Ovis aries: one gene and its partner. Each later gene encodes a partner of the first gene's protein in a complex. Links are inferred from orthologs where the notes say so. Each region holds a gene or a part of one and is shown on either strand. Other genes may lie near its edges.

Evidence for each region.
Region 2: the proteins of ACTR3 (region 1) and ARPC4 are in contact, whole or in part, in a cryo-EM structure (PDB 6YW6), measured with the Homo sapiens proteins. The link is inferred for Ovis aries from reciprocal best matches to the Homo sapiens genes ACTR3 and ARPC4. Residues at the interface, in NP_005712.1 of Homo sapiens: Lys53, Gly54, Val55, Leu58, Glu121, Glu124, Tyr125, Glu128, Glu132, Tyr400, Glu401, Pro405, Arg409; in NP_005709.1 of Homo sapiens: Lys89, Arg92, Phe93, Met96, Arg97, Glu99, Asn100, Arg156, Ile159.

Annotation. Positions count from the first base shown.
Region 1 is NC_056055.1:178,988,771-178,993,165, forward strand, and holds the start of ACTR3 (actin-related protein 3), read left to right. Parts: upstream 1-1,402; 5' UTR 1,403-1,616; coding exon 1,617-1,660; exon of another isoform or gene 1,661-2,372; intron 2,373-4,395. UniProt on the Homo sapiens protein: ATP-binding component of the Arp2/3 complex, a multiprotein complex that mediates actin polymerization upon stimulation by nucleation-promoting factor (NPF).
Region 2 is NC_056072.1:16,888,828-16,892,637, reverse strand, and holds part of ARPC4 (actin-related protein 2/3 complex subunit 4), read left to right. Parts: intron 1-1,013; coding exon 1,014-1,125; intron 1,126-2,422; coding exon 2,423-2,518; intron 2,519-3,484; coding exon 3,485-3,694; 3' UTR 3,695-3,810. UniProt on the Homo sapiens protein: Actin-binding component of the Arp2/3 complex, a multiprotein complex that mediates actin polymerization upon stimulation by nucleation-promoting factor (NPF).

The DNA of each region.
Region 1 (4,395 bases):
CTATTCACTCACCCCTCCTCCCCATTTCTCAGCGCCCTCTGTATTATAATTTCTATTGCTCTTAATACAGTTTGTATGTTTTGCCACTAAACTGTAAACCCGGCAGTGGAGAGAACTTGTTCATTTTGTGCCTACTGAATATTAATGGTCAGCATAGTCCCTGCCCTAATAGAATGGGTGAGCAATTCTTATTTGCCAAATGAATGAAAAGCTTAAATTCCATTGCCCAGGCTGGTCTAACACCACTCTATGTTATCTTCTGAAGCAATCAGACATCCTTTCTTAGGAAAAATGTTATTTCAGTCACCTATAAGTGAATCCATATGGTTTATCAGAAGATAAACCAGAAGAGAAAAAAGCTATTAATATTATAGGTTTCCTAGGTGGGGGGAGGTCCCAGACCAACACCTAGGAACTGGGTAGAAATGCAAATTACTAGGCCCCACTCCAGACCACCTAATCAGAGAACTCAAGGGATGTAGTCCAGCATTCTGTGCTTTAACAAGCCTTCCACGGAATTCTGATGCACACTTTGAGAAGTTTAAATGTCACTGTTCTAGGCTTTCTAGTTTTTTTTTTTTAATTAAAAAGTTTGGTCCTTAATCCGTCGTTTCATCCTGCAAGTAGAATAGTACAACCTAAAACTACCCCGGAGAGTACTTTTTTCTCCTCATTCAAAGCCACCAAAGGCTTACATTCCTGTGAGGTGTGCCTTCCTCGTGGGCACAGGCCTGCCCTCCGGGTGGCCTACAATCTAACCCTTGCAGTAACACTTGTAATGTGCCACGTTGTAACAATGCGTAAGTGTAACTGAAGAAAACAAAACAAAACAAAACAGTACCAAGGCAGAGGAGCCACGGTGCAAGCCTTTGTTCCTCTCTCCTCCAACGGCTCACCCTCCGTCTGATATAGCTCTTTTCCAACCAGAAAAGGAGCCGCTCAAGATATAAAATCGGATGGGTGCCGCTGACAAGGTTTTCAATTAGGCCGTTTTCGTCGGAGCACCGGAAGATAGTTGTGGCTGTGGAATGCGATTCCATTGCTTCCTCAACCTAGCGCAGAAGTACTTGCAACGAAAAACCCCTTCCAGCTTCAGAAGGAGAACTGGAGACTCGGGCAGACCTACCCAACCCTACCTGGAGAACACCCGAAGTGGACTACCTCACCTTCGGAATGGGAGCGGCAGCCGGCGGCGCTCCTCAGTGCGCATGCTCTCTCGCCCCGCCCGCTCGGAGCCGGAAGGGGGAGCGCTCGAGGCCTAGGCCTGTCCTGGCCGGGGCGTCGGCACTGGCGGCCATCTTGGCTTCCCGGGGAAAGGCGGTGTGAGGGGAAGAAGTTGTAGGGTGGGGGCAGGAGTGAGGAGGAGGGGAGAGAGAGGGGGAGGAGGCCGCGGCGGGGCAGGGCGGGGACTGCCTGCCTGCCCGGGTTGCGGAAGTGGTAGCCGCTGACCGAGCCTGCTTCTCTCTCGCTACTGCTTCGGCTTCCCGGCTCCCCCCCAGACGGAGAGGGTGGCCCGGCCGTGGATGGTCAGATAGCTTCCACCTCCCGCCGCCCATCCCTGGCCCCAAACGGCACGGAGCAGACGGCGGCAGCAGCAGCAGCAGGCGAGGAGGAAGATGGCGGGACGGCTGCCGGCCTGTGTGGTGGACTGTGGCACGGGGTAAGGGGGCTGATGGGCGGGGGTGGGGAAACTGAGGCGGAGGCAGGAAAATGGCGGGGCCGGGAGGAGGCCGGGAGATGAATGGAGCGGCAAGGTGCTGCCGCCGGCTGTGTCAGCCCGGGCCGCGCCGGGTGGCGAGGGGTGGGGCCCGCAGTCAGGGCCTCCCTCATCCCCCGCGCTGCACCCTCTGGGAGCCGGGCGGCGGCGCGGGGCCCAGAAACCCCGGGGAGCGGCTTCCTCCGCGCCACCCCTCCCGGCCCTTCCCCCACCGCGGTGGGCAGCGCCGCCCGAGGGGCTGCGGGGACGGGCGCCTCCCCGGGGCCCGCGGTCGCGTGGGGGTGGTCTTCGAGCCCCGCACAGCCGACCCTCCTTTGCCCGGTGCCCTTTCCTGCCCGTAGGTTTGGAGACCGGGGGGAATGGAGCGCGGGGACTGGCCGGGCAAAGGAGCGAGAAAAGAGAAGCGCTCCTTGTAGGTTTTGCAAGATTGCTGTGACAACATTCTACCCGGGGTGTGGGAGGGGAAAGGGAAGAATCGGACCCTGAAAATGGGAACCTAGATCGGGGCTTTCATTGGACCACCCACCTCCTCTTCCTTTTCGACTCCCGGTCTTTTCCATCTCCCACTACGTTCCTACCGGCCAACCAACTCACATTTTAATTTGAGAGAAAGATGTCATGTGTTACTTCTCTTGCCTCAAAAAAGTCCCCCAGTGAGCAAGCGCGCTGCAACTTCCTTAGTTTTGTCAAAGCCGCTTCCTGCTTTCAGTCTTTTATACCCTTATAAGGTAGTTTTTCGTTTCCAACCTGAACACATCTTATTAGAACTTTCAAAATCAAGCAGTTTTCAAATAGGCTGAGGTACTGGTGCTAGGTATGAATTTCTGTGAACTTAAAAAGTATATTTGCGTTGCACTGAGAGGAAGGAAGTGAAGCACCCAGGAAAATTAAGTTGTATAGGTTCATTCTGTGACCGTGTCTTAAGGAGAGAAGGAAGGTAATAGAGTTGTAAAGGGAGGTACTTGCTTTTCAAGGAGTTATTATGGATCTGCAGTGTAGTTTACTAAAGTATATAACGGTGTGGAAGTGGTCGTTCCTTTTGTATTAATAGGCGTTTATAGCACACTTTATACTATCGTAGAAAATATTGCCTGTGTTTTAATGCAGAGTGACTGCTTTATGTTTCACTATTGGAAGTGTTTTCTTGTGCTTGTGAATGCTGTGCTGATACATGATTACTTCTCCAATTCCCCCAATTTTGGACGGAGTTATGAGAAGTAGATTGTCAGCCTTTCCCTTCCCTTTTTACTCTTTAGCGAACTATTGTTACTTAAAGGATGGTATACTCCTCACTCAGTTTGTTCTGTGTGAAATTTCTCTATAATCCTCATGATCATACCTTTATGAAAGTGTGGCAGTTTGTAAAATCCCAGCCGTGCAGAAGGAAATAACCGATTTATTAATATAATAATAAACCAGTGTTGTTTAGCCATGAAACTTCTATGTAGATTTTTGATGGATAGGTGATTATTTTTCTTAATCCAGTTTTATTTGCTTGAATCAGTATTTTTTTTTCCCGCCTTCCTTCTTAGTCCAGTTGGGGAGTAGTTTTATGTTTAGGGTCAGTTTTAAAATTAGATTTGGCAGCTTGACTGAGAAAGAATTTTCAAGTATGTTTTGTTACAGTGAAAAATATTGCTACATAGTTAATATTCTATGCTTTAGTAATTATTGCCTTGTCGATAAAATTAGTGTAGATAATTGTTGCCCTAATGGTAATATCTTAGGTAAGGTGTTAACTTTTTCTCATTTAATTTTTTCCCTTTTGAAATCTTGATTACGTTTGAATTAGTATGCTGGGTATTTCTTTGAGGTTAACTATCCTTAAGTGTCTTTCTGATAGGGCAGCTTTGAATTTAAAACACAGACTGAGTTACCATGAGGTGTGGGGGAGGGGGTTCAGTCTGTACTTAGGATGCTGCCCAGTCTTGGTTGTTGAGCTGTGTCCGACTCCTTGCGGCCGGGTGGACTGTAGCCTGCCAGGATCCTCTGCCCATGGAATTTTCCAGACAAGAATACTGGAGTGAGTTGCCGTTTTCTACTCCAGGGGATTTTCCCCACCCAGGAATCGAACCTGTGTCTCCTGCATTGGTAGACAGATTCTTTACCAGTGAGCCACCTGGGAAGCCCCTTGTACTTAGGATATTTTTGCTTTAATGATCAGTTATTAATTATATTACTACATTAGTTTTATCTCATAGGGAGAGGTTGTGTTAGCTGGACAGTCATGATTTAAATGAAACTGATCTAAGAATTCTTCTTACTTTCTTTTACCATCTGTCACTGTCTGAAATTCCACCTTTAGAGATCCGTTTATTTATTTGTTTATTTTTAATTTGATTGCCCATGCGGAATGTGAGATGTTAGTTCCCTGAGCAGGGATCGAACTCTTGCTCCCTGCTTTGGAAACTCAGAGTGTTAACCACCAGGGAAGTTCCAGATATATACTTATTGTGGTTTTCAGAAGGCATTTTGGTCTTTGTTGTTGCCTATTAGTACAAATCCTGGAAAGTTACACCTTCAACTTTAATAGCATATAGAAGATAGCTCATTGAAATTGGACCTTTGATAAACACATGTAAATAAGCCCTTAATAGAGAGTTTTATGTTCCAGAGTACTGTAGTTTTCCAGATGCAAATTATGCACCTACAATGTGTGTGTTCTTTTGTACTTTAGA
Region 2 (3,810 bases), on another chromosome or scaffold:
CTCAGTGGGTTGACAGGACAAAACTCAGGGGAGAAGCTACTCTGGAGCCAAGATTTGCTTGACACAAGTTGTGACTTTTCAACATAGGGCCATTTGGGAAATATCTCCCAAGGAGGTAGTGAACCCTCTAGCAATTTAAGGAGAAGACTTGAGAACTGAATTATCTGAGATGCCATCTCTGCTCTTCTCAAATTTGAAGATCAAGGATCCCTCCCCTCAAAAAACAAATAAACAACTGGACTCCCATCCCCTACTACAAATATTCTATACTTTGGATTATTTTATCTGATTTTTGTTTTGTAAAAAAGTTTTTCTTTTTCCCCTTTGATGTTTAATCTGGTACATATACAACTGAGATAAGGATTGTTACCACAGTAAATTGATACGATTTGAATGTAAGAAAGCTGACATCATGTTAAAATGTGCCCTGTTATGCTACTTAATGTATATGGTTTCCACTAGGCATTTTAAAGGATAATAGCTCACAGACACCAACAATACAATTAACTACCGTCTGAGGGATCCAGAGGCATCAAAATGGGAACTGAGTTGAGAGGGGTCATAATTTTGATTATTAAAGGAGGCCAAACTGTTTGATTTTAGCTTGGCCTTATCTCTAAGGCAGGCTCTCATTCCCTAAACAGTATATGGGTTTCCCTATAGTTATGAAAATAGGAGTTGTCATTTGTAAAGCTCCTACAATGTGCCAGCTCACTGTTACACACTTGACCCTTGTTGATCTGTTTCCAAATGAGGAAGTTGAAATTCCAACAGGGTAACTTGCCCAATGGAAGTAACAAAGGAGGCTGAATTTCAGAACCTTTCACCCTGACTCCAGAGCCTGTGCTCTTTCTGCTGGAGAACATGCTCTCTGGCCCCCATCTTGGAGCACCCCTGCTTGTGAGTCTCATTCCTTGGACTCTGTGGTCCCAGATTGTGATTCTAGAACCTGCCGTGGAGCCTCCCTGACCATTCTGTTCTTTTATAGTACCTCTGTCATTTTGTGTTCTCAGGAGTAGCAAAGAGCTCCTGCTACAACCCGTGACCATCAGCAGGAATGAAAAGGAAAAGGTTCTGATTGAAGGTTCCATCAACTCTGTCAGGGTCAGCATTGCTGTGAAACAGGTGAGCTCACCCCAGATCCCCTGCCTCCCCGGGGAGGCCAGGGATCCCCTATGTAAGAGGTCAACATGCCAGATTCAGGGTGCAAAGAAACCCAGGTTCTCTTTCCAGGAAATGATTTGCTAAACCTACCAGATCAGTAGAATAAAGGGAAATCAGCCTTCTCTCCTAGGCTTGCTCTGGATTAGACAGCAGGTAATGTAGCAGCCAGGGCTGTGGGCCAGTTTGGTGTCAGGTCATAAAACTCTTCCTAATGAGTGAAGAATAAGTTCAGTTCAGACAAACAAGTAGTAATGGTATCAGTTTGATAGCCATAAACTCCAAAAGTGAGATTTAGGGTAAGAAAATGAAGTGTAGTTTCATGTTTCTTCATTGTTTCACAAATGTCTGACATTCCCACTACCCCCATCGTTTCTTCCATGTTTATGGACCACTTGGCTACTTCTTTACTTAATATTTTCTTTCAATTAACTTTTTTTTTTTTTACTTAAATTTACCATAAAAAGAAAAACAATATGCCTTGCCAAATTGAGGACAACACTAAAATGCAAGCACATTGAAAATAAAGCAGAGTTAAGACTTTTGCCTCCAGAAAGCTCTATCCCTAGTGCCTGCTCTTTGTTAAAAGGGGAGATGAATAAATATTGGGGGCTGTTAAGGTCTTGCCAGCCCGTAATACAAAATTCTTTCATCAGAAATGTTGAGAGTTCATTAGGGGAAAACTTTGGGAATTGTTTGATGTTCATTGTTACTAAAGTGGAGACCATCTAAGGTTATCTGATATACTTCATAGTGTGTATCACTGACTGGAAGATGTAGCATTAGTGAAATGAGACTGGAAAGGGCAGATTTGAATCTAGATATGGATTCTGGAAGGATTGGATAAAAGATTGGGGCTTGCCAGGACTTCCCTAGTGGTTCAGTGGTTAAGATTCTGGGCTTCTACTACAGGGGACTTGGGTTTGATCCCTGGTCTGGGAACTAAGATCCTGCATGCCACACGATGTAGCCAAAATGTGTTTTGAAGTTAAAAAAAAATAAGATTTGGGTTTGTCAGAGTTACCTTTCTGGAATGGGTAAAGGCAAGATCATGATAATGCCCCATTAAGTTGGAGGGCTCTCATGTAGTGGACCTTCCTTTTAGCTGGCAACCAGTTATTTGTGATTCAGACTTCAATACCCAACCCCAGTGTCTCCAGCGAGCATAGGGGAATTTGGGCTCCGAAGACCAGGCTACAAATTTCTGTTGGCCTTTAGGGAATGACTTTAGGGAAACACATTTCTTCTTTGTTCTTACCAGGCTGATGAAATCGAGAAGATTCTGTGTCACAAGTTCATGCGCTTCATGATGATGCGAGCAGAGAACTTCTTTATCCTCCGAAGGAAACCAGTGGAGGTGTGTGATCCATGTGTTGGTAATACCCAGAATTCCACTACTGAGTCCACTGTCAGTGGCCTGGGATTGTTTCTAAAACTGGGATTGCTTGCTCCCCACGCTGTAGGGCACCCACAGCCTGAGTTGAGAGTTGGTCTTCATTTCGGCTAGAGTAAGAATAAGGGGAATCAGCTTATAGGAGGTTGAGTCTGTCTCAGCTGTGGAAAAGGCCAAAAAAGATGAGGTGCATTGCTGACCTTCCCAGAGCCTATAGTGTAGTGGCAGAAAGGGCATGATGAATCAGAATTCTAAACTTTGCCACCAATTGAGTCAGTCTCTCAAGGCCACAGTTGATATGGGGTCACTTGTTGCCTGACTTTGTACTTGAGCTCTCACTACAGATTCTCTGCCTGCTCAACTCCCTGCCGGTCAGTGACTAAGCAACTACCATGCAGAGCAGCGGACACCATTGTCAGACACATTAGTTGTTGGCCAAACTCACCCTCATCCTGAGCTAAAATCTCTCCTGTTCCTAGATCTAACCTCCAGGGCCACTAAGAATAAATAAAATTGCTCTTCTACACACAGTCTGAAAAAGTGAAAAACCATAGTTAAAAACCTCAATACCTCCTTCTCCCACAGCATCTTCATTTCTCTCTGGACTAAATGTTCCTGTTGTTTGATGAGATTCTTCTATAACAAGATTTAAAGTCCTTTCACTCTCCCTTGATTCATTCTGAACACAACTGTTTATACCACAGAGAGTCTGCCAGACAAAATTCTCAATTGGGATCAGTTGATCCACCTGTTAGTTCCTTGGAACCAGCATACACACCGCCACCAGAGCAGATGGGCTGCTGCCTGAAGGGTGTGTCACTTGGGAGAAGGTCAGCTGGAAGCATGTGGCTGAGTGACATAGAGGGCTGGCCAGTGAAGTTCCCCAGGATGTTGATTCTCTCTCTCCTCTCCACTGTCTTTCTTCCCTAGGGGTATGACATCAGCTTTCTGATCACCAACTTCCACACAGAGCAGATGTATAAGCACAAGTTGGTGGACTTTGTGATCCACTTCATGGAGGAAATTGACAAAGAAATTAGTGAGATGAAGCTGTCTGTCAATGCCCGTGCACGCATTGTGGCTGAGGAGTTCCTAAAAAATGTAAGTGGAGTGGCCTTCTTGGTTTCCTTTCAGAAGTAGAAAGACCTAAATAAAGGTTGTGCTGAGAACTTAGCATCTGTTGGGGAAATGGTGCCAACTGTGCGTAAATATTTTCTGAGGCCTCTAGGAACTCTGGTGGGCAGCAGGTCAGCCCC